Drosophila melanogaster: one gene and its partners. The gene in region 2 interacts genetically with the main gene of each other region. Each region holds a gene or a part of one and is shown on either strand. Other genes may lie near its edges.

Region 1 (4,943 bases), 9.3 Mb from region 2:
GATCTCATTTCCCGATCTCCTTTGACAAGGGTCAGCAGAGAAAAAATATTGCATACTTTTCAGCTTGCTTTGTATCTCCAATTGCAGTCTACTTTTCTGCACCCCAAACAAATGACTTAAGACACAAACTTACACACTAAGCTAAGGACTTAAGACACGAACTTGCCAAGAAAGTGCAACACAATTTTAAAACTAAATATTTAATATATTATTGAAATTCATTTAACGCCTTCCTTTTTACTAATATCTAGGAACACTAAATAATATATAAGTTTACCTTTGTTGCGAAGCAAATTAGTTACAAATTTCCTTAAAATTCACTTTTATTTCATTTTTCTCTTTACTAATAGCTAATTGTTTTTTTTTTACTCTTGTTGCAAATCTAGTAGCATGTTCAATATAGCCCACGAAAATTGCTCATTGTTATTAAATTGTTTGCTTGACAGCCATTTAGGCACAACTTTTAATTAATTAATTGGCCGGGGGAAGTGATGGTTATTAATTTTGATGGCATCTTTGTGCGCATCTTGGGCTGCACTTGGATTCACTGAGTGCCCTTTTCCGAATCACTAAACCAGGTCAAGTCTGCTGCTGACTCACCTGATTGCCGTTTCCGCGGCACAAATAAACAATAACAATCATAATAATAATGCTAAGAGAAACAATACACACGGCGACACATTAATTGAAAGCTGAGAAGCAGCGCCGCCAGCATTAAAATGCGAAAATACCGGGCATTTGTGGATGGATCTCGTTTGTCTTTGCTCGTTTGTCGCTGCTTTCCTCTTGTGGCAACAAAAAGAAACAGAAAGCCGCGAAGACGACACTTTCTTCCAGTTTATTGCATCAACGCTGGCATCGCCGAACACACCAAATGGCAAATGGAAAATGGAAGCGGGCCGGTAGCAGGTGTCAACAAAACAGGGCAGGTGCCACCGAGCCCATGAAACCCACGAAAACCACAAAGCCAACATAGCCAACAAAGCTAACAATCCGACAAAACTCACAAACATTTAGCTGAGAAAGAAAAAAGTGAAATAAGCTATTTGGCAATAGCATTGCAGGCCAGTTGGTCAACTGAAGTGGCAAAGGGGGTTAAGAAAATTATGATCTTTAAGGGTGTTAAGAGGTGCCCTCTGTTTTTTGGCTTCATTTGATCGCTGGCTCGTGATATAACTCAAGTAAACAGAAAGTAAATACTTATTTTAAAGGTGAAACAACTAAATTTTACATTTCCAATTGGCTGTTCGCATTAGACTTATTGATTCGTGCAGCTATTTAAAAAATGTATTTGCTCAATACTCCTATATACAAAATATTTTTGGCTAAGATACTAATGAGCATGGCAAACGCATCCATGCGGTTAATACTGTAATTCAAAAAGCAAAATTATAAACCTTTCAAGGCAAGCTGCTTTAAGTGAGTATTAAACAATACAAATAGTTTAATAATCTACAGACTTTAGAGTTTGTTTCTATTAACCTTTCGTTCATAGCATCAAAACAAAAACATAAATAGTTAAGTAAATATGTATGGGAGAGGAAGGGGATGGTCAAAGTTCGGAAAAAGTGAAAGAACAGAGAACGGAAGAAAATAATCATTTAAGAAATTATACTCATGAAGATCTGTGGGTTTTTATGAAATGGGAAAGCCGGAGAGTTTGTGGGAAATTTGCAAGCTGCTTTCGATCCAAAAGTTCGCACATAATCCGATGGGTAAAAACTATAAATTATATACCCATCCCGGATTTTGTCGTGGCAACAGACTCATTAAATAATAATACGAGTTTCCAAAGATTTTTTAAAGGTTGCACTGATATCAAATATTTCGGGTAGCACTTAAAAAAATATAGCACTAAATATAGAACCATAGTCAATAAATTGATATTTCTTGCACTCCCATATTATTGTAGAATTTGCACTTGTTTGTAGTCTTTATCGACATATTACTGTAACTAATTGATTTTGGCGCTCGTCTATTTTTGCAGCTAATTTGTGTTCTGGTTTGCCGTTTTTGTTTATTTTTTCTAGCGATTTCTTTTACCTCAATTTGATGGCAATATCGCGGCACTTGACGCATGGCACCTGGCCGGATTCCTTGTCGGGCACTGCTGCACTGCCTCCTTTTTCCGCTGGAGCTATTGTGGCATATTGGGCCTCCTCCTTTTCCGGCTGCTCATCTGCCTTCTCATCCGCCTCCGTTTCGCTTGCGAAATCCACCACCAACTCTTCGTTGGATTCCCGGTTGGATGTAACCACTTGCCTCTTGCTAAAATAGCCCACATGTTGGTCCACTCCCGCATTGGCATCCAGCAGGATGCGCTCGTAGGCGGCGCTCTCGTTTTCCGAGAGGGCAAAGCGCTGCTCGAAAACCCGCACGGGCAGCGAACTTTTCCTTAGCACCTCCATCCGCTTGTGCCGCAGCTCGATGGAGAAGATCAAGCGGACGCGCACCAATCGCCGGAGACCCTGATGCGTTGACCTGGCGCGCTGTAACCTCCTGCGCTGCTGTCTCAGCTCCAATTTCTCCAGACCCTTCAGCGATTTGGGATCGACCAGACCGTGATTGTAATCCTCCACTGCTGTCAAATCCAAAGCGGATCGCGTGCGACGCCAGGGCACCAAGTCGAAGTGAGCACCCGCCCAGGGATGGAAGTTCACCTGGCTGACGTTGGTGCTGCGATCCTGCTTGAGGATCCAATCCGATTGCTGCTCCTTGGTCACACGAACGTGATCATTCCGTGCCGCTGCCTGCGGCTTGTGGCGTTTATATCGCGGCACCAGTGTCGCCTCCAACATCCGAGCATCCAGACCGTAATCGCGACGCAGCTGCTCCAGCTCCCTGCTGCTGGCCGTAAACTGAGCACCGTTCCACACGATCACCGGCGCACAACTGGCCATTGGATTCGTTTCGTGGCTTGTTCCTCTTCTGGTTTTGGTTCTATATACGTATTTGTACGTTCGTTCCCACCCCGAAAATTCGTTCCCCCAAATTCCCGAACTAGTTGACTTTATGTCACTGATTGCGTTCTGTTTCTGATTTTCTGAAAACCCGCTCGTTTTCCGGTTTCCGCTCGGCAATGTCGCGTTTGTCGCGTCCGCGCTCCGTGACGCCGGCGACGCAAATGTTCGCTGGCCAAAAAAGATACAACTTCAAAATCCGCAGTCGGATTCCTATGCAAAAACGTTGCGCCAGCTGCGCTGCCAGCCAAACGCCACTCATGATTAAGAGTTTTCTGTTGCTGCTCTTCTCTGTTATTGTTATTGTTATTGTTGATGTAAATGTTTTTGTTATTGTAATTGTGATTATGGGCTGTTTTGTTGGAGCTGCTGGTGTTGTTGGTGCCGCTTTGTTTGCCGATATGCCACTGCTGCCGCAGCTACACGCAGCTACAAATATTGCAAATGCCCATTTAATATCTACTTAAATTTTTTTTTATTAATTTTAACACACTTAACTATAATGAATACTCTTAATAATAGTAATAATTGTAATTTTGCAAATAAAAAAAAATTAAATACAATATTTACAATCTAAATGACCATATTTTTCAAAACAAAATGAAAACAAATTTACTTTTAAAAAACATTTTACCTTTTTAAATAGGAACTTGAGTGACTTCTGCGTCATTTAATACCTATTTCTTTAGTTATTTATTTCAAGTGTGACAGGATCGACAACTTGTAAAACTGTTCAATTATTCACTAACGGTCTACTTCTAAAACTTAGATTTATTGTATGACTTTACTGCTTTTTATTTGCAAGTTTATTTTCGTATTTAAACATTTTAATTTTTATCTTACTTTTCACTCATTTTAAATCACTTTCTAGCAGGTTCGGACTGAAGCTATTAAAGGTGATTTACATCCACTTTGCCCGGACTCAGGCTAGCATTTTCTCTCTGTGCACGTTCAACGTTTGCTCAATATTGAAGAGTCGCGGGCTTAGCTGCCCCTCTGATTGTATTATTTATTTATTTTTCACGCTCACTGCCATGTCAACTCTGCTCTGGGGCAACCCTCTGACGGCGTCGACGTCGACGTCGCTTCACTCGGCTGAGCACGCGTCAGCAACAACAGAAACAACAACACTGGCATGCATAGTAATATTAACTAAAGCCCATAGTTGTTGGTATTATCACCGCTGTTGCTGGCCATTCTGCAATTCGAGTTCACAATTCTATTCTCGGCTAATTGACGGCATCGGGCCATTGGCATTGTATTGGCCAAATTAACCAACAATTGCGACAGTGAAATAGGCCCTTTTATAGTCCACATATATAGTACAAATATAGGTTCATAAAACAATACTTGAAACGAATTAATCATATCTCTTAACTATAATTTCACGTTGATCTATTGGAAAATATTTTTATTATTTATCTGTTCATGAATTGTTGAAGATGTTATAATATATTTTATCCTATAACTATAAAAAGAATTATTTAAAATTACGTTTGTAAATATTTTAAATATGTAAATATTTTTTGTAAAACATATTTGTTATAGTACATAATAGTCTTTATAATTATTTCAGCTACTTAAGGCCAATTTCATCATCGTTTTCCATTTGCCTTGATCGAAGTTTAGCTAATTTCTATAGAAAATATGCAATTAAGTTGCAAAATATCCGCCTAGTGTTTATAGTTCTCATTGCCTTCTAAATCATTTGCCACACGAAGTGCCTATTGTACTCGAGGCATGCCAAATATCAATTATGCTATATACTTTATAGTATGTAACTATATAGAGTTTGTGCCCCTAGAACGGGCTCAACTCAGGCGTGGCGAATGTAAATGAATTGGGGCTGGCTTGCAGCTTCTTGAGTGGCAATTGAGCAACTCCACCTGCGCGCTTTTCCTCCGTACTTTTCCACCCGGCTTTTCCAGCTGTGTGACTCATGAAAAGCGTGTGCAGATGGCGTAAAGAGTTGCCTCGATTTCT
Region 2 (5,009 bases):
AGCTTTTTTTTGTGACAACATCCATAAAGATTAGGTCCCCTGATAAAAATCACAGAATGAGCGATAAAGCAGACCTAAGTAGTTAAAGTAAAGTAAACAGACATTATTCAAGAAAACCCACTTGAGTATTGAGAGCAAACACCTGTTAGAAAATTCCACTGTATTTTGTATGCGATTTTTTAATGTGTAATCCCATTATCTTTATGGAAATTTTTCTAAAAAAAAATTTTTACAAAATGTTAGCTTGACGAATAAATGTCGGCCAGACATCATAGGTTAAGTACTTAGATTTATAGGTAGAAGAATCGAAATAGTCGCTGTTCCTGACTAGTTTACCATAACTTAGTTCTAGTAAACCCTATCAGCGGATTGAAGTTTAGACCCCAGCTAAAGTTTAGAACGATACAGGCTAAGGCAAGTGTGGATTTCAGGACTCTAATCTCTCTTAGAACCCAGCCAAATGATAAGAAAAGAGAAAAACCGGAAGAGAAAAGGGGAAACTTCCGTGTTTTCATTTGTCGCCACAAATCGAAATTGTTTTGTGGCCTTACATAAAACAAAACGAATGAAAAACAAAAACCACTGACTACAGTAGCCACATGATAACACCACACGACCATAGTATTGATAATGACACCCAGGCGACCCCGAAGCAAGCAAAAAAAAAAAAAGAAAAACTAAACCACCCGAGCTGATAACTATGATAACCGATTGCTAATCAGAAGCACGTGCAATCGTGGGCGGGGGGTGCGTACGAAATCAGTTTTCAATAATTCAATTAACCCCTTGGGGCCAAATCAATTTAGCCGCCTTGTGACTGCGCGAATTTTATCATTATCGTGTTGTTATGCGAGTGTGTGTATGTGTGTGCTGTCCGATTAGATCAAAGCAAATCCAATTGGATAAGTGCGTGTGTGGCGCAGCTTCGGCTTCCAATTAGACCGACTGAGTCAATTGGTATTTATGGCATTTTTTCTTGTACATTTTGCAAACCTGTTGTAAAAATAAACTGTAAACAAACAATAATTGCTGGGGGTAATAAAAGACAAACAGTAAGGTGCACAGTGAGAAAGAAAATGTGCAACTTATAGATTAAAAAAAAATGTTTATTTCTATCGAAAGAAATCGAAACTACGCCACTATAATTAACGTTTAATGAAGTGCGAGAAAACGCTACATTTTTCGCGCTGTGTAGTATCAAATGCGGAAACTGCAGACAATAACAAATGGGTAGCAGCAACAACAAATTGCCCGAGAAACTACTGCCACAACAAAAACAGCAAATGCAACAACAACAACCGCATCGAACAAGAACAACTCACTCAGAACCGCTAGCAACAAACAATAAAACAAACATACATACATACATACATACATATGTATGTGCAGCGACGTTGCGTCGCCGTTTCAATGTCAAAGTGCCGAGTGCAACAACAAGATTTAGGGAAAATAACAACAAAACACAGCTGATGCACTTGATTACACGGGCGTGACACTTGCTTTTGGGAAATTCCAAGTGTCTTCGTGCTAAATAATTCATCCTAAATAACTGGGCGACGTGGAAAATACGAAATGAAAATCATATTGGAGACGACATCAAAAACCCTTATATCCTTTCGTTTCAATGTCATAAGCTGAAGAAGAATGGGAAACTAATTAACCAATTAATTAATAATTAAGAAACGTGATTTAGCAAAGGAGTTGGCACATTAGTACAAGAATTCACATTTTTTTGTTTTGCATTTCAGCAAAAGTGAAAAACCATATAGAATCAAAAGCATATTATATCATAGTTAGATTACCCTTTCATTTTACTTCAAAAACACTTTCAAACACTTCAAACACTTTTAGTTCAATTTTAGATCAAGAATAACAAAAAAAAAAAAAAAAAACATTTTCTTATATATATATATAGATTTTCTTTATATTAGCCTTTAATAGCTCTATTAAGAATGTTAAGTTTGGAACCAGCTCGATATGACATCGATTTCAACTTCCGAGGAAATCAGACAGTTTTCACGTGGTTGCAGCAAAGAGTTCTACCAAACTCCACAGCCATTATAATGAAGGCCTTTGAACTGAGGAATCAACTAATTGCGCGCTATCTTATACAAATTCCTTTGCAGGTGTACATGTATTTCGCCCTGGTAATGATGAGCCTGCTCTTCATAGCCTGGTTCTTATACTTCAAACGAATGGCACGTTTGCGTTTGCGCGACGAGATTGCCCGTTCCATTAGCACCGTAACCAATTCATCCGGCGATATGCGTGGCCTGCGTTTCCGGAAGCGTGACAAGATGCTATTCTACGGCCGTCGAATGCTGCGCAAAATGAAGAACGTGAGCGGTCAAATGTACAGCAGCGGTAAGGGCTACAAGCGTCGTGCTGTCATGCGTTTCGCGAGAAGGATACTCCAGCTGAGGCGGGATAATATGCCGCTAGAGATGCGCACCGTGGAGCCGCCAGCCGAGTATCTGGAGGAGACAATCGAGGGCAGCGATAGAGTTCCGCCCGATGCACTCTATATGCTCCAGAGCATTCGCATTTTTGGACATTTCGAGAAGCCGGTCTTTTTGCGGCTCTGCAAGCACACCCAATTGCTGGAACTGATGGCCGGCGACTATTTGTTTAAGATAACCGATCCGGACGATAGCGTCTATATCGTTCAATCGGGCATGATCAATGTGTACATCTCCAATGCCGATGGCAGCACACTATCATTGAAGACGGTCAGGAAGGGCGAGTCGGTGACATCGCTGCTCAGCTTTATTGATGTCCTGTCGGGGAATCCCAGCTACTATAAGACGGTCACCGCCAAAGCCATTGAGAAATCGGTGGTCATTCGTCTGCCCATGCAGGTAGTTTATCTAACTAAACTAAATGTTCATTGAACACTCACTTACTTCTTATTTTTTTCCTCCTTGCTTTGGCAGGCATTCGAAGAGGTGTTCCAGGACAATCCGGACGTAATGATTCGCGTCATCCAGGTGATTATGATCCGGCTACAACGCGTACTGTTCACCGCTTTGCGCAACTACCTCGGTCTAAATGCCGAACTGGTGCAGAATCACATGCGCTACAAGAGCGTATCCACAATGAGTGGACCGATTAACTCGCAGACCTCGCAATCCTCACGCCAGGCGCCCAATGGGCCGCCCATGGTGATCAGCCAGATGAATCTGATGCAGTCCGCTGTTTCGGGAACGGGATCATCGGGTGTCTCGGTGACCGTAACTCGACCACCATCCTCGCCATCGCGACACTCGCGCGAGGAGCACACGCTATCCGATCCGAATCCAAATCCGGATGGTAGTTTTCACGGCACTACCAATCTGTTCACCGAGGTGCATGGCGATGCGCCCAATGCAGATCTATTCCATCAGCAGCAGCAGCAGCATTCGGTGGGCAACCTATCCACGCGTCGCAGTTCCATAACTCTGATGGCACCCGATGGTTCGCACTCGTGTCTACAGACACCCGGTGTGACAACCTCGATAGACATGCGCCTGGTGCAATCCTCAGCGGTGGACAGCCTACGCAAGGAATTGGGTCTGTCCGAGGAGGATTCCCACATCATTGAGCCTTTTGTAGAGTTAAGGGAACTGGAGCCGAATGTCACCCTGATTACGGAGGGCAATGCGGACGATGTTTGCGTTTGGTTTGTGATGACGGGCACATTGGCTGTTTACCAGAGCAATCAGGATGCCACGCGGGCCAAGCAGGATAAGAGCGACATGCTCATTCACTTTGTGCATCCCGGCGAAATCGTTGGTGGACTGGCCATGCTAACGGGAGAGGCCAGTGCGTATACCATTCGATCGAGAAGCATCACCAGAATAGCCTTCATCCGACGAGCAGCTATTTACCAGTAAGTTTGGGCGTTTACATAATGAAGTAAAATGATTGCTTTATGATTGCTTTATTTCCTCGACAGGATCATGCGACAACGACCACGCATTGTTTTGGATCTGGGCAACGGAGTAGTACGCCGTCTATCGCCTCTGGTGAGGCAGTGTGACTATGCCTTGGACTGGATCTTTCTGGAATCGGGCAGAGCTGTCTATCGGCAGGACGAGAGCAGCGACAGCACATATATTGTGCTTAGCGGGCGAATGCGTTCGGTTATCACGCATCCTGGTGGCAAAAAGGAGATCGTCGGCGAATACGGCAAGGGGGATCTTGTGGGCATCGTTGAAATGATCACGGAAACGTCGCGCACCACGACGGTGATGGCTGTGCGCGACTCGGAGCTGGCCAAGCTGCCCGAGGGCCTGTTCAATGCCATCAAGCTGCGCTACCCCATCGTGGTGACCAAGCTGATTAGCTTCCTTAGCCACCGCTTCCTCGGCTCGATGCAGACGCGCTCGGGCAGCGGGGCGCCGGGCGCGCCCGTCGAGGCCAATCCCGTCACGCACAAGTACTCCACGGTGGCCCTGGTGCCCATCACCGACGAGGTGCCGATGACGCCCTTCACCTACGAGCTCTACCACTCGCTCTGTGCCATAGGTTCGTATAAAGCTAGTGAGCGCTCCAATCTGTGGGACAATAGTACTATCTATACATTATTATTTGTCATTGATTAAGAAGAATGAAAGGGATATATATGTCTCTGTAGCTATACAAGGTTCTATGATAGTTAAATGTTCACTTTAAATATAAAAACTATGAAAAGGTAATAAGAGGACAAAGTCCCAGGCATAGCGAGATTTCAGCATATAGAATCTTTTACACTTCTTTTCCGCTAAGATTTATTCAGAACACGATGGATAAGTCCGGTAACGTTTCACATTGCTGCACTGAATCTCCGATATAACCGCCAATTGTAACGTTTCTCTTCTGTTTCTCGCTCAGGACCCGTTCTCCGTTTGACCTCCGATGTGGTGCGCAAGCAGCTGGGCTCCAACATCTTTGAGGCAGCCAACGAGTATCGTCTAACCTCGTGGCTGGCGCAGCAGGAGGACCGAAACATCATCACCCTCTATCAGTGTGACAGTTCGCTGAGCGCGTGG
Region 3 (4,638 bases), 3.8 Mb from region 2:
GAAAACTCTACGGATTGTATTAGTTGAATATTTACTTTTGACCGCATTGTTCTTTTTGTAAGCTCAACTCAACAACATTCCTAAGTGTTTGAGATATCTTAGCTTGATGAGCCCCATTGGGTCGATCAGCACTCTCACTTTTCTAACCGTTTCGTTGGGCCAAAGATGCACTAAAGGCCGAAATGTGCCACGAAAAGTTTCCATTTCATTATGGAATGTTTGTAGAAAGGCAAAGAACAGTTAGACGACGAGACGCCGGCATCTCAAGCTCAATAGACCCCCCTCCCCACCACACACACACACACACTATATTTTCCAGTGTCCGAAGTATCTTTGATGTTGGCTGAATACAAATTAACATTCTGTGAAAGAAAAGACTTGTCGACGAGGTTTTATCTTGTATCCGCATCTGCATATTGTACACGTCTTCGTATCTCTGTATCTGTATCTACTGTATTCATGTATCTGCTGCTTCTACGATGTATCTGCAAATGTGGATATGGTATATGGATGTGAAAGAGCACTGGGAATAGAATTTACTGGGTCGATCGCGGCAGCAGCTCATAAATTATGCGTCATCGATGAGTGGAGTCGAGGGGCACGGGAACAATGAATGAAGAAACCAAGGAACAGAATCAGACCTTGAATCGAAAAGTGTTAGGCGGTAAGGTAAAGCCGCTTAGGGTCCCACCAATAATGGTTAAAGCCAATCATTTGAGGCCAAACAAAGAGATAGTCCAGCGTGGAGATAGCTGCCGTTGTCCGATATACTGATTCCCAATAGCGATTCCGAATGCGAATGCGAATTGCGACAACGAGACTTGCAACTTGCTGGTTGCAACCTGGCAACTTGCATTTATGGCCAAGTCGCGTGTTTGTTTGCTGCTGCCAATCTGGCCTCCTGGAATTGAGTTTATTGTGCCACAGCGGCGTGCTTTGGATTGTCGCATCAGCTTAATTAGAATTCGAAGTAGTTAACGGTGCATTTAATGCGCTCCAAAACGGATCAAATGCATTTGCACCGCTACCACTCACTTCTCCATCTACTTGGCCCCGTATCTGTGCAAAGATCTGTTCTATTTATCTGCTCTTCGCAGACTAATGAACCAAGTGCCAAGTGACGAAAGTTGTCATAACATTTCATTTGCTGCCTGTCGCATTGCCACACGGTTTAATGGTGGCAATGTGGCCAGTAAAAGATGTCAAAACAGTATGCTAATAAACGTGCTTTTGGCACTCTTATCCTCGCATTATCTGTCTGGCTTGTATCGAACATCGTCGTCTGGCTTGTTTAATTAATAAGCACATACTTTACATCCTTTGATTTAAGTTTGCTGGGGAATCTGATATTAAAAGCTTTATGGCCAGATAAAGACCACCAATAGTTGACTGCCTTATAAGATACAACGTGACCACAATTTCTTTTAAGAATCCTTACAGAGCAAGCTTACTCAACTATATTCTATTCTATATCTTACCCACTAAGTTTAGTAGTTTCAATAAAATATAGATAATGTGTGTAACTCACCGATAAGTTGTAATCTTTCCGAAGGTCAAGACACAGCTGAGTGTGTTACAGCTGCTCTGGACTCCTTATATTTCCGTTCTTTTGTGAAATCCCGGCTCTGCGTTTGGCAAATGCATTAAAATGTGAGTGAGGCACAAACAACAACAAAAAAAATAGCTAAATGGTGTAGCATAAAAATGTACAAAGCTGAGGAGGACAGAAGTGAAATCGGAACAGAACGGACCAAACCGAACCGGACCGCCTAACACGTAACGCAAATAAAGAAGAATCATCATCGTCATCAGAGACTTTTCAGTCCGAGTGAAGTCCGTGCTCATGGCGACTGATTGATGATTAGTTGCCATTTGACAGGTGTATGCGAGTTGTGCGGGGTGGCCGGGGACAGGGTGTGTGGGGGGGGGGGGGGTTAGAGAATTGGGGGCTTTGGAGTTCGGTCAATAAATAGTGCACCTGCTGGGCGTGTGGGAATACGATCCGCCAGATGACGTTGCTCTTTTTTATGGAACTCTAGCGTCTCGCGTCTCGTCTTCTTGGTACGTGTGATTGTTATGACTAACTATTATTATGTATGATTGTTATATTTTCCACACGGGAAAAACTTTGGAAAGTGCCAGCCGCCAAGGCGCAGTGCATGCAATACCTTTGATTTTGATTTCGATTCTGGCCAGGCTGAGAAGACACCACTCTGCTGGCAAGAGGTGCAGCAGAAGAATCAGTGGCAAAAGACGTGGACGCAGGGGCGCACAAGAAGCGGAGGCAACAAGCCAGCCGCATTTGTGCTAATTGGGAAAATTAGAAAGCATGAAATGCTCGGCTGCATTTGCTGTCTAGCTGGTTAATCGGCTCCACTGTCGGTCCAAGAAGACGAGGCAGAAGATGCTGGAAAGACTAAGATTGGATGTTTCACAGAACTCAAGCAATGCAATTGGCTCTGCGGAGAGAGGAATACGAATAAGATGCAGGAATGACAGATCCTGGATAAAGTCTTCACAGGAAGCAAAAGAAATAGACTTAAGATGTTGGAAAGCCGTGGACTGGCTTCTCCAAAGAATAGAATAAGTTTCTGGTTGCAAATCGTGGATATTTCACACAACTCTAAATTCAAATTGGCAATATGACAAAAACAAAAAAATTATTTGCTTTTGGATGGAAGAAACACTCACTTCGCGGGAACGTTTCTTCTCAACTCTCTTCTCGTTCTTTCTCGGTATCTTGCTAAGCTTAAGCAAGTAACGGTAACAGGCAGTGGCAACAACAAGAACAATAAAAAAAAATTGCACTAACACTTGTAAGCACTTCGGGTGGTGTTACTTATTTGATTTTCTATTTTATTTGAAATTTATTTATTTTATCAACATTTGTTGTAGGCGCGACTGGGCAGCACACTGGGCATCGGATCACGGATCACGATCACCGATCACGACCGTTAGCAGCAGCAGCACGTGTGGACTCGGCGAGCGACGAACGCGAAATACGCGAGCCAGCCAGGCGATACTTTCTTTGGCCTCGTAATGTAACTGTCGGGAACAGCAGCCGCAGCAGCAGCCGAAGAAAGAGGCAACAGCAGCAGCAGCACAAGAAGAAGAAGAAGCAGCAGCACAAGCACAGAAGAGTGAGCAAAAGAGAAAGGGGGAGAGAGGCAGCGCAAGAAGCTGGCAAAGCTAGACACGCACACACACACACACACACACACAAGCACACTGAGAGAGTAGCTCTGCCTGCGCCGACTGCGACTGCGCAACGAGCTTTTTACACCTGCGTTGGCAGCTGCGCAAATGAGCACAGCTCAGCCAGAACTTGTTGTTGTTATTGTTGCGATTGTTGTTGTTGTTGTTGGTGGCGCTAATCAAGCGGCCTAATGACATAGAATAGCCTGCCAATTAGACGACCAATAAAAAGAAACTTACATCTAGCACTTCAATAAAAATACATTCGAACGCCCACTCAATCAGCAGAAGATCGCGAGATTTTGAAAACTCCTCCTGCAGGAAAATGGCAACGCAGTGGAAAGCTGGCAGCGCAGCCGACGTTGACGTCGGGAATTTGGCGCACTTGAACTTGAACTTTCGGCGCGCTCGTTTCGTAGAGAAGCTTTCGACTTAATGGATACCCCTAAGTGTTCCCCATACATTAAATGATTGCATTATGAAACACGTAATAGGATTATAAGAAAATCTCGATGAATTTGAAGCTTATATTTATTTAAAATAATTTAATTATGAAACGTAAAAAACTCTTCAAAAGTAATAATTAAAATGTAAACACCTTGATACCATTCATGAAAAGTATAACGATTAATAACAACTTCATACCTTATCCGAAAAATACTGCACGCATGCAGGGCGAAATATTGTAGCCAGCTTTTCAGGTGGGCAAGGTGCATAAGTTAGCGTTTTGGGTCTGGGAACCGATCTGCCGGCTCATAACGGTTAAACAGTTTTCGCCCGTCGTTGACAACTAATCAAGATGGGAACAGAAGTTGATCAGAGCTGATTTGAGCAATAAACAAAAAAAAAACAAAATCCGTTTCCTCTTGCGATCTTAAGCTCTATCTCTCTTTAGCACACATCGGAATTGGCAAGCTTACACATACATTTGCACGCCAAGAATCTGCAACGGTTTCCATGCTGGCTCTTCTTTTCCTCGTTCTTCTTCTTCCTCTTGGTCTTCTACTTGGCAGCTGCTTTTCTCCATATTTGTTGTTAGTGTTTGAGAGGCTGCTCCTCGCTCCACACTCGCTCTCTCGTTCTCCCTGTCTCTCTCCGTCTCTTTCCCACGTGCTGGGTCTATCTCTCTTTGTAGACTGGGCGCATTTAAACGGTAAACATCATGAATGCATTTGGAAAGTGGTTGTGTTGTGGTTCGTGGTGTTTGCATTTTGCATTTCTTCGCATTCTTTTCTGTTTATGTGGCTGTTGCTGTGTGTTGCATCGCACAATTGTGCCAACAACAAGGCGGAGAAATGTGAAGAGCCAGAAGAATCAGAAGAGCCAGCGGCAGAAGCAGAACAACAGCAACGGTAATACCCACCGAAGACGGCGTTTTCATTTCTGAGAATTGATTGGCCGTCGGGCCTACATACTCCACACGCCACTGCGACTGCCTCTTCC

What was found. Genes that interact genetically often act in the same process or in processes that back each other up.
Region 1: of sn (region 2) and f, changing one enhances a phenotype caused by changing the other (phenotypic enhancement), as found in Drosophila melanogaster (3 studies listed by BioGRID).
Region 3: of sn (region 2) and m, changing one enhances a phenotype caused by changing the other (phenotypic enhancement), as found in Drosophila melanogaster (one study listed by BioGRID).

The regions. Positions count from the first base shown.
Region 1 is NC_004354.4:17,257,432-17,262,374, reverse strand, and holds the start of f (forked), read right to left. Parts: upstream 3,002-4,943; 5' UTR 2,901-3,001; coding exon 2,044-2,900; intron 1-2,043.
Region 2 is NC_004354.4:7,962,067-7,967,075, reverse strand, and holds the start of sn (singed), read right to left. Parts: upstream 2,934-5,009; 5' UTR 2,904-2,933; intron 2,859-2,903; coding exon of another isoform or gene 2,127-2,858; intron 1-2,126. Other genes in the region: sws (swiss cheese), read left to right, coding at 2,127-2,858, 2,934-3,868, 3,935-4,506, 4,852-5,009. UniProt on the Drosophila melanogaster protein: Acts as an actin bundling protein. May have a role in the asymmetric organization and/or movement of cytoplasmic components. It has a role in somatic cells during the formation of adult bristles and hairs, and in the female germline during oogenesis.
Region 3 is NC_004354.4:11,752,636-11,757,273, reverse strand, and holds the start of m (miniature), read right to left. Parts: upstream 3,002-4,638; 5' UTR 2,692-3,001; intron 1,626-2,691; 5' UTR 1,529-1,625; intron 1-1,528.